Schizosaccharomyces pombe: one gene and its partners. Each later gene encodes a partner of the first gene's protein in a complex. Each region holds a gene or a part of one and is shown on either strand. Other genes may lie near its edges.

What was found.
Region 2: shf1 (region 1) and brl2 share a complex: the UniProt entries of both Schizosaccharomyces pombe proteins name them as parts of the histone H2B ubiquitin ligase complex.
Region 3: shf1 (region 1) and brl1 share a complex: the UniProt entries of both Schizosaccharomyces pombe proteins name them as parts of the histone H2B ubiquitin ligase complex.

The regions. Positions count from the first base shown.
Region 1 is NC_003424.3:4,807,481-4,813,496, forward strand, and holds shf1 (histone H2B-K119 ubiquitin ligase complex (HULC) subunit Shf1), read right to left. Parts: upstream 3,929-6,016; 5' UTR 3,788-3,928; coding exon 3,290-3,787; 3' UTR 3,006-3,289; downstream 1-3,005. Other genes in the region: phosphoinositide phospholipase C Plc1, read left to right, coding at 306-3,005; CCR4-Not complex subunit Caf16, read left to right, coding at 4,619-4,742, 4,822-4,941, 4,987-5,585; formin Fus1, read right to left, coding at 5,745-6,016. UniProt on the Schizosaccharomyces pombe protein: Component of the histone H2B ubiquitin ligase complex (HULC) which plays a role in transcription regulation by catalyzing the monoubiquitination of histone H2B to form H2BK123ub1.
Region 2 is NC_003421.2:487,540-493,667, reverse strand, and holds brl2 (histone H2B-K119 ubiquitin ligase complex (HULC) subunit, ubiquitin-protein ligase E3 Brl2), read right to left. Parts: upstream 3,888-6,128; 5' UTR 3,601-3,887; coding exon 3,511-3,600; exon of another isoform or gene 3,447-3,510; coding exon 1,494-3,446; 3' UTR 1,299-1,493; coding exon of another isoform or gene 884-1,298; 3' UTR 837-883; coding exon of another isoform or gene 606-836; 3' UTR 561-605; downstream 1-560. Other genes in the region: sec8 (exocyst complex subunit Exo4), read left to right, coding at 1-68, 119-560, 606-836, 884-1,298; wtf antidote-like meiotic drive suppressor Wtf9, read right to left, coding at 5,149-5,231, 5,282-5,344, 5,385-5,576, 5,622-5,900, 5,950-6,128. UniProt on the Schizosaccharomyces pombe protein: E3 ubiquitin-protein ligase which belongs to the histone H2B ubiquitin ligase complex (HULC) which mediates monoubiquitination of histone H2B to form H2BK123ub1.
Region 3 is NC_003421.2:2,237,903-2,242,654, reverse strand, and holds brl1 (histone H2B-K119 ubiquitin ligase complex (HULC) subunit, ubiquitin-protein ligase E3 Brl1), read right to left. Parts: upstream 2,809-4,752; 5' UTR 2,681-2,808; coding exon 602-2,680; 3' UTR 501-601; downstream 1-500. Other genes in the region: pep3 (ubiquitin-protein ligase E3), read right to left, coding at 1-150; transcription factor TFIIIB complex subunit Bdp1, read left to right, coding at 3,369-3,399, 3,445-3,936, 3,987-4,636, 4,675-4,752. UniProt on the Schizosaccharomyces pombe protein: E3 ubiquitin-protein ligase which belongs to the histone H2B ubiquitin ligase complex (HULC) which mediates monoubiquitination of histone H2B to form H2BK123ub1.

The DNA of each region.
Region 1 (6,016 bases):
ATTAAACCAAAGCGCGCTTGCCACTAACGTTAACAAAAGTCTCGGATGTAAGCTCCTACGATATAAGAGGTAAAAGTTCCGAAAACAACTAATTTTTGTCCCTATAATAATATCAGGCTTACTTGATTTAAAGTGGTGGATTGAATCTATGCTCATATGCAATTTTGAGTGCTATCCACTTATCTTTATTGACACATACACGGCGTATTGTTGCTGAATGAAAACCGAAAAACCGAAGAACTTTTAAATATCAACATAATGATCAAAAAGCCAATGGCGGTGTAAATCCTTAAATAGATATCATAATGAATTGTGAAATGGTAACGTCGCCTGAATCGGTCAACTTAGGAGACTCCAACAGAGCAGTAAGTCCATTTTGCCTGCCCGATTGCTCAGAAAACGCAGTTGCTCAGACGAGGAGTAAAACCTTAGATAATGCTGCTTTGGATCTCCCATATGTTGGCAATAGGAAGAAATCGGAGCAGGATTTCTTTAAGATGCTATCATCAAGGGATCGCGATGCTCATAGTACTCTACGTAAACGATCAAATTCTTTATCTTCTTTTCTGAGTACGAAATCGACATCAGCTTCAGAAAATAAATTCCATGGAGGATTGAATTGGCTTTCTCTGAAGTTAAATCTTTTGCTACGCTTGCAAGGTCGAATGAATTCTGCGAGAACAAATACTTCAATGAACCCTTACTCATGCGATAGTAACGAAAACTTATCTACTCTGAGCTCGGTGAATCAAAACTTTAATTCTCGACAGCTATTAGCTACTATAGTCCCTGAATCTATTCAAAACGGATGCTCTTTACTTCGTATAACCAAGAAAAAGGTGCGCCAACGTAAAGTCTCTTTAGACCCTATATCTGGATATCTTATGCTGGACAAGAATACTGGTAAAGCTTATAAGAAGCTTTGTGTTGATGACATTAAAGAAATTCGACAGGGCCGCGATGCTCGTAATTATAGAGAACAGTACAAAATTTCTTCTGAGAACGAGAAACGCTGGTTCACAATTATATATTGTGCTGATAATAAATTAAAGGCTATGCATATGATATCTCCAACTTTAGATGCGCATAATCAATGGATTATGGCTTTAGAAGGTCTAAAAACTTATCGATTGAATGAATTTATTATTGGACTTAATCTCGTTTGCCATCAAGGTGAAAAAATGATAGATTATTCAGAGAATTTAAATCCCTGGGAAAAGTTAGAAAAGGAGCAAAGTGCACAGTTGGATCTAGGAGACGTGCATCGCATGTGCCAAATGCTACATTTGAATGCATCAATGGAGTTTTTAGAAGAAACATTTCAAAAGGCAGATGCTGATCATTCTGGAAAGCTAAGTTTTGAAGAATTTCAGCATTTTGTAAGCCTTTTAAAAACAAGATCCGAGATTGTAGATATTTTTAAAGAATATACATCTGGCTCTGACAAGATGTCTTTGGAACAGTTTCGTCACTTTCTATCAACTTCTCAAAAGGCTCGTTTGGATAGTGACTCAATTAGGACTTTGTATGTCTCTTTTTGCTCAAATGATGATTCAAAAATGGGTTTGATAGAATTTACTTCCTTTCTACTTTCTCCTCATAATTCTCCAGTAGTTCCTGTGATACAAGATATGTCGCGACCACTGAATGAATACTTAATTTCTTCGTCGCATAACACTTATTTACTAGGTAAGCAGTTTGGTGGAGAAAGTTCAATTGAAGGTTATATCCGTTCGCTACAGCGTGGCTGCAAGTGTATTGAAATCGATTGCTGGGATGGACCGAATGGTCCTGTAGTTTGTCATGGACATACATTTACTTCTATGATAAAATTTAATGATGTTATTGATGCTATACGAAAATATGCTTTCGTCGTTTCACCTTATCCATTATTCATTTCTTTGGAAATTCATTGCTGCCCTGACCAACAACGTCAAATGGTTAGTTACATGAAACAAGCATTTGGGGATACTTTGGTGATGAAACCCGTTACCGCTAACGAATCAGTTCTTCCTTCACCCGAAGATTTACTGAACAAAATTTTGCTGAAAGTCAAATGTTCAGCAACACCATTGCACCAATTTTCGACAGACATACTGAAGGTTGGGATAACTGATTCTTCGACTGATACTACCGAATCATCGGAGCTAGAAAATTCAGAATTAACAGGGTTAAGGAAAGGTAAAAGACGGATGAAAAATATCATTGTGCAGGAATTGCAACAGCTTGCACCTTATGCCCGATCATTGAAATTTCGAAATTTTTCTTTACCGGAATCAAAAACGTATAGCCACATATTCTCATTTTCGGAAAGGACTATAAAAAAGCATGGAAAAGCTATGGTTCCAAGACTTAGCAAACATAATTTACGCTATTTGTGTCGTGTATACCCTGGCCCATTGAGAGTAGGAAGTACAAATTTTAATCCTCAGGTGTATTGGCGCCTGGGTGTGCAAATGGTTGCTCTAAACTGGCAAACTTATGATACAGGTCTTCAAATAAATGATGCTTTGTTTATAGCTGATCCTCCGACTGGGTACTTGTTAAAGCCACCTTGTCAACGAATAATTGGTACAACAGTTGGCGAAGAAGGACTTCCTCGTAAAATAAAATTAACAATAGATGTCATATCTGGGCAACAACTTAGAAGAGCTAGAGAACTTTCTAATTCTGAAACTCTCAGCCCTTATGTTGAGATCCAAGTTCATTCAATGGAAGAATCTCCTTTTCGTTGGTGTTCCAAAGTTGTGCACGAAAATGGATTTCGACCTTTTTGGGGAGAAACCATGGTTTATGAGAGTATAATTAGTGATGACTTTTATTCCATGATCCGATTTCTCGTCCATCATCGAGGAAGTAATGGAAATGACTCTATATTTGCTAATTTTACTTGTCCGATTGACAGACTGCAACAAGGCTATAGACATATTCGTTTATTGGATATGCAAGGCGAAAATTTGTTATTTTCGAGTTTGTTTTTGAAAATTAAAAAAGAAGACATTTAGAACGCTGTGTCCATTACAGCACTTTCACCGTAATGAAACTTCAGAAAATCTAAAATGCATATTATACGTTAAAAGGGAGAGAACCGAAGTAGTCTGAGAATGTTTAGAGTGTATGAAGCGTTTTTTTATTTTTATTTTTTTTTTTTAAAAAAAAAAACGCTATACAAAAACATTCATGTTTATAAATATGGGTTTGGGATAAAACTTTCAATAAAAAGTCATAATAATATCCACAAAGCGGAAGCTCAATGATTTGTACGCAGACGATGATTGCAATAATTTATTTAGAAGCTGACATTATTTACAAAATCGTTTAAGCTTTTTACAGCTGCATCACTACGTAGACCTTCTCGGTATATATCCGTTCTAATTTTTTCCCAAAAATGTACTTGTTGAGCGTATTGTTGTTCGACATTCAATAAACTCTGGGATGAATTCTCGCACGCAGACTTGCAGCTTTGAAGTTTACTTGACAAACTCGAGTCTGGAAGATTAATCTTCGGCAATTCTACATTCGTATCCGTAGAAGCTGCCCCAAAAGACGCTCTTGTTGAATTATTGCTAGGGACTCTATAATGATAGGGAGAATTGTGTTCCTTGGAATTTGTAGATGAAGAGGGTGAATCATAACTAGATCTGGGTGTTTTTGTTCTTTGATGGTAGGATTGTCGGCTCCTATAACTAGATTCATAAAAACTGTTTTGATCAACGTTTGATTTCAAAGGACTACGATACTGGTGGTCGTTTCCATCATAGTGGTAGTCATTTCTTCTGCTGCTCATTAAAGTGAATAATTAAGTGCTGATATTAATGGTTCTTTTTTTTCACGAAAAATGTACACTATCTAATTAAAACAATTGGTTAAAGAACCGAAAAATAGTAATACTTAATTCAATTAAAATCACGGTGTGAGAAAACGGTTTGAGGTAAGACTATTTTACGTACCGCGTTATATAAAGCCCTTCGCCCATATCGATGTTTGTTTGTTGTTTAATATATTAAGTCTAATGATATGGGCAATACTACGTTGAAAAGCTAAAATCGTTTAGCAGGAATGAAATAATATTATATTTATATTTTTTTATTTGAGAAATGTCCGCCTGCTGTTAAAAAATTCCATGCGAATGTTAGGTTTGTCTGTTGTCTTAAACGAAATGGGGTGACCTTAGGAAAGTATTATTACTTAGTTTTAAGCCAAATAATATGTAGCATAAATTGTAGTTGATTACAAATGTTATCTGCTTCTATCTCCTATATATATTGTTTGCCAATTGTTCCATCGATGTTAATCATTTTTCTTTCCAAGACTCCGCAGGATGTGTGTTCAAGGTCTTAATAGCATCTCCAAATATGGGCAGCATTACTTAATAGTTAAAAAAGGTTCTTTACAAAGACTTGGAAAGCTAATTTATTAGTACGAGGTCTTGCTTATAACAACTTTACTGCATTCCCTCCACACTTTACTTGATACACAGATGTACTAAACACAATCCAGCTAACCCACAAAGTTTGAGTGTTATTTAATTTGCGCCTTTTTTTGGATCCTTTATATATTGTAAAACTAAGTTCTTAGATAATTATATTTTACTACTGTTAAAACATTCTATTTCAAAATGGAAGTAACTGTTTCAAACCTCTCTTACACGTTTTCTCCAAAGCAGCCTTTAAGTCTTGATCACGTAACTTTAGATCTTCCTAAAGGATCAAGGACTTTACTTGTTGGAGCCAATGGAGCTGGTAAGTTTCGCGGTGTTATGGAAATTGATGAAGAATATTTAAATGCTAACTGATGTCCTCTTGGAATTTTGTTAAACAGGAAAATCAACTTTACTTAAACTTTTATCTGGAAAATCGCTTGCGAAAGCAGGACATATATCGGTGGGTGGTAAAGATCCTTTTCGTGAGTCTAGTTCTGCATTTGTTTATTTAGGAACTGGTAAGTTCTTTTAACATCAAATTTTACTGATGTGTGCGTTTGTAGAATGGGTTAACAACCCTGTTATACATAGGGATATGAGTGTTGCACGATTAATTGCTTCTGTTGGAGGAGATAAATTTGCCGAACGTAGGGATTTCTTGATTTCAATTCTTGATATAGATCTTCGTTGGCGAATGCATGCAGTGTCCGATGGTGAAAGACGACGTGTTCAACTATGTATGGGACTTCTGCGTCCATTTGAAGTACTTTTACTTGATGAAGTAACTGTAGATTTGGATGTTCTTGCCCGGGCAGATTTGTTAAATTTTTTGCAAGAGGAAACGGAAGTAAGGAATGCTACTATTGTTTATGCAACACATATATTTGATGGTTTAGCTGAGTGGCCAACTCACTTGGTCCATCTCAGTCTTGGGCGTATCGTGGATTATGGACCAATATCCAAGTTTGGTGCTCTGATGACAAGGTCCTCTACGGGAAATAGCGCCCTTCTAGAGACATGTTTGGAATGGCTCAAAGAAGACAAAAAAAATAGGGGAACTCGAGAAGAGGAAAAGCGTAGTACCTGGGACGACGTTCAAGAATCATTAAAAGTTGGAACTGATGTATTTACTGATTACTTTAAGATTTCCCGAGCAAAATAGATTACTAGAAAAGTTATCCTTTAGATGCTTAATTCTATCTTTAACAAGCATTACAGTCTTACTAGAATTAATAATTATACCTTTTATTAATTATAATTTCATTATAATTTGTTTAAGTCATTTAATTGTCATTAAAAGTCATTAACATTTCAAACATCATTATCTCTTAAGTTCATTGTTATTCTCCAGCTGCTTAAGCATGCATTCAGCTTTAAGGACGACTGTTTGTCTCTTTTTATTTGAGCCTTCTAGAGTTTGTTTATCATTTTCATAATTCATTAGAGTTTCGATTGTTTGTTTCGATGATTCAGTGCAATCGGTTTTGTTGCTTAAAGAATCATCACACAAACCTTTCTGTAGCTGAGATATTAAATTTTCCATTGTTGCTGAAACTTCCTCATTCTTTGAAGAACCACTATTTTCTGCATTAT
Region 2 (6,128 bases), on another chromosome or scaffold:
AGAATTTTATGAATTATTACATACTTTGCTTGTTCGTTTTCGCAACCATTGTTCTGATTATCTCTCTGGTATGTTTCATTTCCATTTTTTCACTGTTTCCCCAGCTTACCCTTTATAGATTTGTGCAGAACGGCTGTTCTCAAAGAATACAAACATGTCAACGAGGATACTGAAGATGTCGATGATACTGTTCGAGTAAAGCTACTTCACGACGATGTAACGTACCCTCAATTTATTAAATTCCTCAAGCAAAAAAATCCATCACTTGAAGGGTTAAATGAGCTTTGTCGAATGGAGAATAAGCGTTTATTACAATATGAAGATCGTGCGATTACGTCCGAAGTTAAACTTCCGGTATCGGTTTTATCCAAAGATTCCGACCTAGTGAACTCGGTTTCTTATCTTCATAACTCCATGGAATGGTTTCTTCAGCGCTGTTTTTCAAGATTTATGAACGGTTCGCGAAGAATGAACGTTTTGCAACAAAACCAAGCTAATTTCGGTGGTGACTTTTTACCAATTGATAATTTGTTGGGTAATAATTCGGATTTAATGAAGGGGTATGTTACTGTATGTATTGAACTTTATACTGATTTTTATAAAAGTGCATATAAAGAAGTCTTTGATTCTTTACAGAGGCTCCAATTCGATGCTTTACTGCTAATCCGAATGGAAGTTCGGTTACAGTACATTCATAGTATTAATCAAAGTGTAAACCTTCCTGACTATGTTGTCGAGTACCGCGGAAGACCAGATGCTTCGATAATGGCTCTCAACTCTACTATTGTGACGACGAATTTGAAACTCGAAACCTGTTTGAATGAATGGGAACGAAGGTAAATAACAAATGAATTCCTTATATTGATTTGCTAACTTTTTATAGGTTTGTATTCCAAGGTCTGAGTGAACTGGTTGATTCATCGCTATACTCTATCTTTTACAAAATAGAATCAATGAATAGAGGCAGCTGTCTTCAGATGCTGAAAAATATGTCAGCAATGATTCAGATTCTTAAGACGGTTAAGGAAATTCATGGCGACGTTGAATTTCCTAAATCTTCTAGAGTCTTTGGAATATACCAAAATGGTGCCAAGAAAATTATCGAGCACTTCATTGCTGCCCCCAAAAAGGAACTTTTGCCTGACGTTAAACAGATGGTCCGAATTTATTACCAGCGATTAATGAAAGATGCAAAAAGAAACGGAAGGGACGATCTTTATCGGCAGTATCAGAAAAAGATTGGCTCGGTTTTAACTCAGTTCGACAACACTGTGGGTGGTGCGAGAAAAAATCCTTAACCGTATAATATAGAATTTTAATTATAATGACGAGTAATGATTTTATAATAATAAATTTATTAACTAAAAACATAGATGCATTGGATAGTTTAAAAACTACGTGACCTAGTTTCAAAGATTATATTAAGGAAAATGATTTGTTATATATACAGCGTTTTCCTGAAAGACATAATTTACACAAATAAAACATATTCTTCAAAGATGTATCGGAATAACATCAGAAGCACCAAATCCACGACCGCAAATCGGGCATCTGCGTTGCCGTGTTTCAATCCGTTTTTGTATGCATTGGTAACAAAAGCCATGACCACAGAGAGAAATAATTCGATCTTTCCAGCGCTCGAAGTTACAAACTGAACACTTACACATGGCCCTAAAAGTTTTTAACTCTTCAGCTGACGTTGATACCCCAGTATCCTTTAACTTTCGCTTCTCTTTTTCATGCTCTTCATCTTGCTTGGAAAGTATATCTATAGAAGATGATAAATCTGAGCATTGAAATTCAAGGTCTGTTAATGTAGCATTATTTTTATCCATAAATTGCTGTAAATAAGACACCTTTTCTTCCAGGTTTTGAATAGTTGATTTTTGAGATGACTTTTTGACTTGAAACGTTGTTGATTGTTTTATAGAGTTATTTCGAACCGATGATAGACGGGCTAGCTGATCTTCAAACTCTATTATTCTATGGACAGCAGTGTCTTGGCTATTTAACATTTTTGAGATAATTTCGTTGGTCTTCTGGTACTTCTGGCGCAGTAACTTTACTTCAGCATGAAGACTATCTGTAGACTTCATGGTCAGAAAATATTTTTGCTCCGCCTTTTCCTTTTCGACACTAAATTTGGTTATCAATTCTTGATAATGGGAGTGGCTACTTTTCACAGTTTGCTGTTTTACCAACCTAAATGCTTTTTCAGTAGAAGCCAACTCTTTAGAAAGGTAAGTTGACAGATCTTTTTGTAACTCCAAATCGTTAAGGTCTACGAGCCGGATTTTGTTTGCAGCTTCACGGGTAGCCACCGCTTTTTTCTTTTCCAATACCATTGTCTCTAAATTCGCAAGTTCATCTAACTTGTCTTTGTAGACCTTCTCTTTTTGCTTTTTAGCTTCCAACTTCTTTTCAAGGGATAAGCTTAATTCAGTCTTTGCGTTATTAATTCTTTTTTCATCGTTTTGCATAACAGATATTTGATGATCAAGATCGTTTATTAACGGCTGATAGGAAGATTCAAAAACACCGTTAAAATTCTTTGACTGTTGCGACAATACATTTATTTCGTGAGAACATTCGGACAATAAGTGCTCTAATACGCGTAACTGCTCAGATGTCATAGAAACAGCTTCTTTAAGTGCTAAAAAGGAAGAGTATTTTTTCAAGTTTGTAGTTTCGACGTTGTTTAATGCGTTTTCTCGTTCCATAATTAATTTATCCATTTCATTAACGTTCGAATCCAAAATTTTAAGGCTTTGTGAGCGAGACTCCATTAAACCATTTTGTTGGTCTTGAAGCCTGGATAATTGTTGCAGTTGAGTACGTTGTTCAACCGTGCTAACTTTCTTTTCTTCATCTTTCCCCTTAGAGGAGGTGGTTGCTTCCTCTTTCACTTTAGTAGACTGGGGTCTCACTGATTCATTAATGCATTGCAAAGTAAAACTAGACGAGCGATCTGGTAGTTTTATAATTGAATGAAGCTGAGACCGAGTGGTATCCAATTCATCTAAAATCTTGTCAATATCCAAATTAATGGTGTTTAATTTCTCAGTAAGGGCAGAGTCATCAATTGATAAAACTGAAAAAGGATCTCTGGAGACCGAATTTGTGCTTGAGTCAACAGTAGACAAGAGTTTTTGAATGATGCTCAAGGCTTTAGTTTTATTATTTTTCACAGCGTCATTGAAGTATGAAAGCTCCGGGAATTTCTCCAAAATCGAAAAAACACCTTCACTCTCGAAGTCCTTCAGCTCATTGCCTTGAAACACAACGCTAAACTGCTGAAGTATTTCAGGCCACCAAGAGACCAAAGTAGCTAAAACTTTTAATTTCTCTTCTGCTAAATTTTGAAGTCCCTCTATTTTACTTTCTAACTCATCAAATTGAATGCTCCTCACTCTTACATCCTTTAATAAGTCTTCTTTAGAGACTTCCTTTAACAGAGTTAGCGACATGTCTTAACATTCGAATGCCTAAAGGCTCAACACGTTAACATACCTGAATATCATCATCTTGTATTTCTACATCTTCAAGTTCTCTTTTCTGGCCTAAGATTGTGGGGGCATCTGGTTTACCATTCTGATACATTCTCGAAAGTCGTATACATCAACCTATCAATATAAATTTCCTTTTTTTCAGAACAATTTGTTTTTTAACGAAAAAAGAAAACAGCCAAAACCTAAAAGACAGACTGTATTTTTCTTATACTAAACGTAATAACGCGTAATGAATAAGCAAGTTATAGATACGCGTCTTTACAGATCTATTTCAAATTCTCCTTCTTAGTTGAAACTTGCCGTATTGAAAATATGCAATTCGAAGCGAATTAAGTTAATTGCCATTCAATACAATAAAATGGGTAAAAGTGAAGTGGTAGAGGGCAGACACGAGTTTACGATCTATTTACTCAGTCACTAAACTACTTTAGTGAAAAATTGTCGTATTTGAAGAAATTCGAGTTAACTATCCATCTGGTATCCACTTTAACGAAATGTAAAATTGCGGTGAGTTTTCCTTGTGATCTATTATATTGCAACACACAGGTTGTATAAGTAGCAACTGAGTATAGGTATTGTATTAACTGGGTTATAATGTTACCTATCACTAGTATAGCTCATAACTGAACTGAGGAACGAGGTTCAGTTGTAACGCTATTTATAAATGGCTGTTATCAACGGGTATTTATGTACATAGACGAATAGTTACCTGTGATTATCAACAAGCGGATCTTAACTAGTATTTCAACATATGACATATAGTGATACACTACGTTGCGTATCACTATATGTCACATGTTCTAATTATATATCGTACCATGTATGATACGATATGGAGATTAATCTTAATGATAATCTATTCAGATCTATATTATCTGAATACTATAAATAGAGCTACCACTGAACTGAGGAACGAGGTTCAGTTATGAGCTATACTAGTGATAGGTAACATTATAACCCAGTTAATACAATACCTATACTCAGTTGCTACTTATACAACCTGTGTATTGTAATATAATAGATCACAAGGAAAACTCACCGCAGTTCTACGTATCCTTAAATCAGATACCAAACTGCGTAGCTTACACGTAATTACGATAACAAACCATCGTTCTAAACCACAATATTCTATTATGCTGCTCATTATTTTGTAAACATTAAATTTTGTTTGAATTGAACCATTAAACAGAAGGGAAAAATGATTATTAAGCTTGATTAAATTAAGAATCAAGATGAAGGAGAAATGAATGTAACAACGACAATGAAATTGTGAATTTAACAAGGTGGAACAACGAGTTTTCCGATTTCATTAGTTGATTTAAAGTTGTCGTAAACAAGTTAAACCATTATTGTTTGTAGCGTAGAGTACCATTAAAAAAGACAAATAATTAGACTCGCATACATTATAAATAAAGACTTCGGTCCTCAATGCACATTATCCAACATCGTAGAATGCATTGGTTGAAAATCTTTGGTAATTGAAAGAATAAGTTAAGCATATATTCCATAAACTTATAGTGAAAGAGGATGATTAAAGAAAGTTGGTGCTAATTTTTTAAAAAACGCCGCAGCTTCTCTGCATTGGTGATTTTGGTAAAGAGGTTTTCCAACTGTAGCGACAACTACATTAATAAAGCAATTAGACTTCGCTTTCGGCCTCCGTTTCTTCCAAGGGAATGTCATTATTATCGTTGGCACCTCCAATCGCATTTGCTATACCTCCTAGTCGGGTAAGTAAAAAATCATTCATACAGTTGGTTGAATACACATACCTAGGAAAGAAGCTATACCATTCCTGATAAATTTGGGCATCCTTTTGAGAGCACCTGGACATTCTGATACGGTTAGAGTAAATTACAGGAATATTAAACAAACCCATTTCGTAAAAGAAAAGAAAATTTCCTATAACAAAGAGTGAAGAGGCTTCAATTTCGTAGCCTGTCCCGTCGATATGTTTATCAAATAAATGCATCAAACCTTTCTGTACAATAACGACACAACTTTGTACACCCAGTACTTGAAACAAACCAGAAAACATATGCTTGAGTGTCCAAAATGGAAGACGAACTGCGTGTTAGCGGTCAGTAATGGTAACTCCATAACTTCACATACCATATAGTAAAAATAAAAGTAAAGCAGCTGAAATACTGCATGTAGAACAGATGAGAGCCTTGTCTAAGTTCAAATTACCGAATTTGGCGCGAAGAAAAAGTGTATAGCAAATGACTACCCATAATAGCCAAATTATTACTACCCATTTTTCCCTTGAGTTGTACAAGCCGACCGCAGTTACCTTTACACATTTTGCCAAGAAAACTGCAGTCACTTTTACACATTGTGCCAAGGAAATTACAGTTACTTTAACTGCCTTGGTCCAAGTTTCATAGAAGTCTGATGAGTTAGTGACTGAAGGTAAGAATAACCCCATTGTCTCACTTACAAGTCAAGAATATTAAAGCCAAAGTGCAAACAAAACACCAAAATCCAAATAATGTCCATTCCACTGCACCATAATTTTTAAAAAAAGCGTCCTTATACTTTAGATAACAAACTGCTGGAGCATTGAATAGAATGATTGAAGTGAATGATATTAGCAGTTTTATCAACAAAGGGGAAGAA
Region 3 (4,752 bases), on another chromosome or scaffold:
AACAGGGAACTGCAGTTGCACCTTCTCTAAGGAAAATACACCTCTTTGCTCCTTTTCGGGATTATCAGCTGTGTATTCCAATTCCGCATCTTCTTGAATATCTGAATCTTCAGAAGAATTAGGATCAATCCAATCCTCGGCCAGACTCATTGTTCAATGGGATTGCACGCGTATCAATAGAAAATGAGATGAATTATTATAATTCCGCTGCCAATATAAATTAATTTACCAATATTTAAAAAAATAATTAATAGTAATTAATTGTTTCCTATTTCGCTAGTTACAGTCGCTACAGATACACACCCTCTATTTTTGGCACATGGATAATGGAGAGTGAGTCATGATGCTAGACTTGCGAAACTAGCATATGAATGAACGAAGTTGCTTAATGGAATAAGTTAATCAAATTGATAGATATTACTAGTTTTTTATTAAAAAAAGCATACATATTTATATGTAAATAAATAAATAAATATATATATATATATATATATATGTATATAGGATTGACTATTCTTTCAATAACTATTGATGCCAAAAAATATATTATGTACCAAAATAACAAAAACATTACGTTAATCATATAAAAGATGATCTAGAATTAAAGATGAATGGTCAAAATGTCGGAAACCGAAAAAGGTGTTTCACACTGCGGACATGTACTTGTTTTATGCTCATAAAAAGGTTCCATACAATTAGAACAAAAGGCATGACCACAGTTTGGAATGAGTTTAGATTTCCAATTAGAAAAGTTGCACACGGAGCATTTTAACATTCCTTTGTATACTTGAGCCTCTTGTGTTTCATATGCCTGGTTTATAAGATGAGACTCTTTCTTATTATACGAAGCTTTTATGGATAAAATAGTATGCTCTTCTTGCAAATGAAACAACTTCTGATGCATGATCATAAGCTTTTCCCCAGATTTTTGAACAGACTCTATAAGATCTTCAAGTTTTTGAGTAAGTTTTGTTTGCTTAACTTGTAAGTGCTTATCTTCTGTTAAAACTTCGACCGAGTGTTTCCCGTAGATTTCCTTTATTTGTTTATAAACTTCCAATTCAGCTTTTAAAGAGGATTCATATTTTGTTAGCGCATGTTCTCGCTCTTGCAACTTCCCTATATAATCATGTTCTTTATTTTCGGCCAGTTTAAGAGTTTTCTTCTCTGTCATAAGAATGTCCCGAGCTTTCATGGCAGCAAAATATTTTTGGGTGGCACGAGCCTTTTCATAATGCATTTCCAAAGCTTTTTTCTCCTTCGTTTCAAGTTCTTCATATTTCTTCAACAAACGAGATTGTGATTGATCAAATGCTGCATACATACTTGGGAGTTCAGCCTCCAAACAACTATTATTTTTTATTAGTTTTTCCAAAGCTGAAGACGCAGAAATTTCTTCTTTTTCATCTAGGACATTATTCATCTCACCAGTCTTAGACCTTTCAATACGATCCCATATGCACAATCGATTTGAATAACCTTCTAGAATTGCAACCCGAGCGTTTGACAAGTTGCTTAATAAAAGCATCATATCGTCAAAAAATAGATTGTTAGTATATTGCATTTGTTGTTTCGCCACTAGAGAGTCTCGTTCGTTACGAATTTGGGTTAAAGATGATTCAAGGGTTTTAATAAGTTGTTGTTTCTCTTTTACACATGCCAATTTTAAATCAATAATATCCTTCTGTCGTTTCGTCCGTTGAGAAATAAAAAACTGAATGTCCTCAAACAATGAAGAGAGGTCCCGATTAATGGATTCGATTTTCTCTTCATTTGAAGAAAGAACCCCCTTCAGCTCTAAATAATGGGGCTCTCTACTCACTCTTTCATCCGTTATACCCATAATGTCGACGTACAATTGTGCTGCACGAGTTGATTTTTGAGAAAGTTCATCCAATTTGGAATTTATATTTGCTTGCATCAAATCAGCTTGAGATTGAAAATTGTTTTTTAGTTTTGAAATATTATCATTATCATTTAAACATCCTTCCCCATTTTCGAGAATTGCTTTTGGTTCCGAAGCAGGGATATCATCAGCGATATTTTCAATACTTCTTTCGGAAGCACTAGTAAGCTGATCTTGCTGCACCCGTTTCCATTCTAATTCAGCTGAATTCAAAGCTTCACGAAAGAAGGAAAGTTTCCTTTTTAGGAGTGCCAACTTAAGTTGGCTAGTACGGTAATTAATCATACTTGTAAAATGAACCTGGCGTTGGTCTATCCATTCATGGACGTTTGGAGTTTCTTTTAATTTAAAAGAACCAAATTTAGCTAACTTTTGTAGAGTAGGTTCATGGGCTTGAAAATAGGAAGCATACTTATTCAAATAGTTTTGCGCATCTTTGATTAAACTGAACTCAGCAAGTGACAAATCTAGTGTCTGTAAATTATCATCAGGTTGATATAAAGAAGCAGTGATTTTCTCTAGTTCTTCAAATGATTGTTCATGATTTTCCAGAGCAGCAGCAACGTAATGATCAAGTTTCAAAACTAGAGATTCCCAATACTCGTATAATTTCTTTTCCAAAACAGTGAGATGCTCATACTCTCTAGATCTTCGCCAAGCTGCTTCCTTTTGAAATAACTCTAAGTCATCTTCTTCTCCGAGGTCTAAACGACGCGTTTCTTTTTCGCTGTGAATAAGACGTCTTCTTTTCCTCGATTCATTCACAACGCTCATTCCACTTCAAAAAAATTCCTTTTCTATTTTATAATTAAAATAAAGTACTTAGGATCAAAATATGTGCTCATTAACATTCACTAAGCCAATTCCTACGGTTAATGAGTTTTTTCAGGTTATCTGTACATGGTAGTCATGTCTCGTTAGTGAGTCAAATAGATTCCTCGCTATAATAATATGTTTCTTTACCTTAGTTATGCCTGTCTTTAAAGTCGCCTACGAAGTAGTAATTTGTATAATATAATTAATATTGGCAATGACAAAATAAACATTAGCTAACGACAATGGCTTCTTCAATTCCTTCGGTGGTTATCTAAATTGCTGAATTTATTCTACTATTCATATTAGTGTAAAGTATTTTCTTGCTTTATCTGTAAACTATAGCTTACATTTCCAGCGTTTTATAATAACTAAGTTTGTTCGAGGCTGACCCTGATTATTTCTACCTTTAGTTAATTTTATATCTTACTCAATCATTGCGACTATAAAACTTTTTACACATATATATTAATCTATTCAGACGGGCTTGCTTGGTTTCGTTGTACAGTTATACCCAGGATATAACCTCTTTATTAAAATATTACTGGTTCATGGACAACAGGCAAATGTTTGTACAAACATATGCGCACTGCCACATAATTTTTGAAATTCATGCAATTGAGTCGAAGTTACAGTCTAAACAGACTCAATGAGCTCGCAAATATTAACCTCACCTACAAGTACGTTTTTTTAAGTAGTAGGGCTTTCCACTAATGTTTTACCAGAAAAATCAATGTCAAGGTTTGCCCCTAAATTTACAGCCCGTAGAGAGAAAGTATCGGACCAAAAAGAGGTTGTTCATGAAGAAAAAAATCAACCCCTCACAGGAAACGAAGTAGAAACATCCGCTCAGCTGTCTCGTGATACTGCCAATGCTGATATTTCTAGTCCGGTTGTGCAAACAGTAGTTCACAAAGAGGCAACTGAAAATCCCACAGCTTCATCCTATAGAAAAGATGATTCAGTGAAACAAAATGAAAAACTTTTGCATTCAAATCCTACTTTTAAAATTTCTAAGCCAACGGTTCTTGAGCAGCCGTTAAATGCTATTGAGCATTTGTCGCCTGAAACCGATTTATCCTCTTCAGCCGAACAGCAATTTATGAAGGAATTAGATTTGTTTTTTGATGAGAACATTCCCCTTTCTCAGCTCAGTGCTGTTAGTGACGGAAAGGCGGATTCTCCGGCTACAAAAAAGTCTCGCCGTTCATATAGAGGTACGTAAATAAAGGGTTAATCTAAAATGCATTATTTAATAACATCATAGAATCTTCTTTGAAAAGAAAAAGTCAATTGATATTGGAAAACGTGGGTACCGACGAGAAAATCATTAACATAAGTGAAACCAAAATGTCTGCTTTATGTGATGATCCTGGAATTGGCCGCAAAAGTCAACGATTTATCGAATTAGAAAAAATGCTTTTTGAGGAAAAACGAGCAAAGAGGATTAAAAAACAAGGAGCAAGTACTGCAAGCTCTAGTCGAGAAGCGTCTTTAGATTCTACCATCAAACAGCCTTTGAGTGCCAGTCTTCTAGAATCAAGCGAACCGAAAGAGAAAGAAGAAATAGTAGGAAGTTTGGAAGAAGAGGGTACGGATGAGTCTGCTTCTCTCGAAGATAGTCTCTCTCACCCAACAAAGTCTATTCTTGATCAGTTAGCAGATAAAATGGAAGTTGATGGTTTGAATAACAACTCCAATTACTCTGCAACTCCTCGTACGCGAGTTGTTAATGGCCAAATTGTTCTGGATGAAACCTCACTAGAAGTCGACCGTCATGAACGTGATTTTGTACCAGCAGAGGAACGCGAATACGTTGAAGAAAATTCTTTAAGTCGTCGGGTTACAAGTGCTACTTGGGGAAATAGGCAGAAACCTGAGAAATGGAACGCTATGGATACTGAAAAATTTTATAAGGTATGGAGGAATTGCGCTCGTATTTACTGACATGGCAGGCTCTATCACAGTGGGGAACTGATTTTGCTTTAATTGCTAATATGTTTCCAACTCGTAATCGTCGACAGATAAAACTA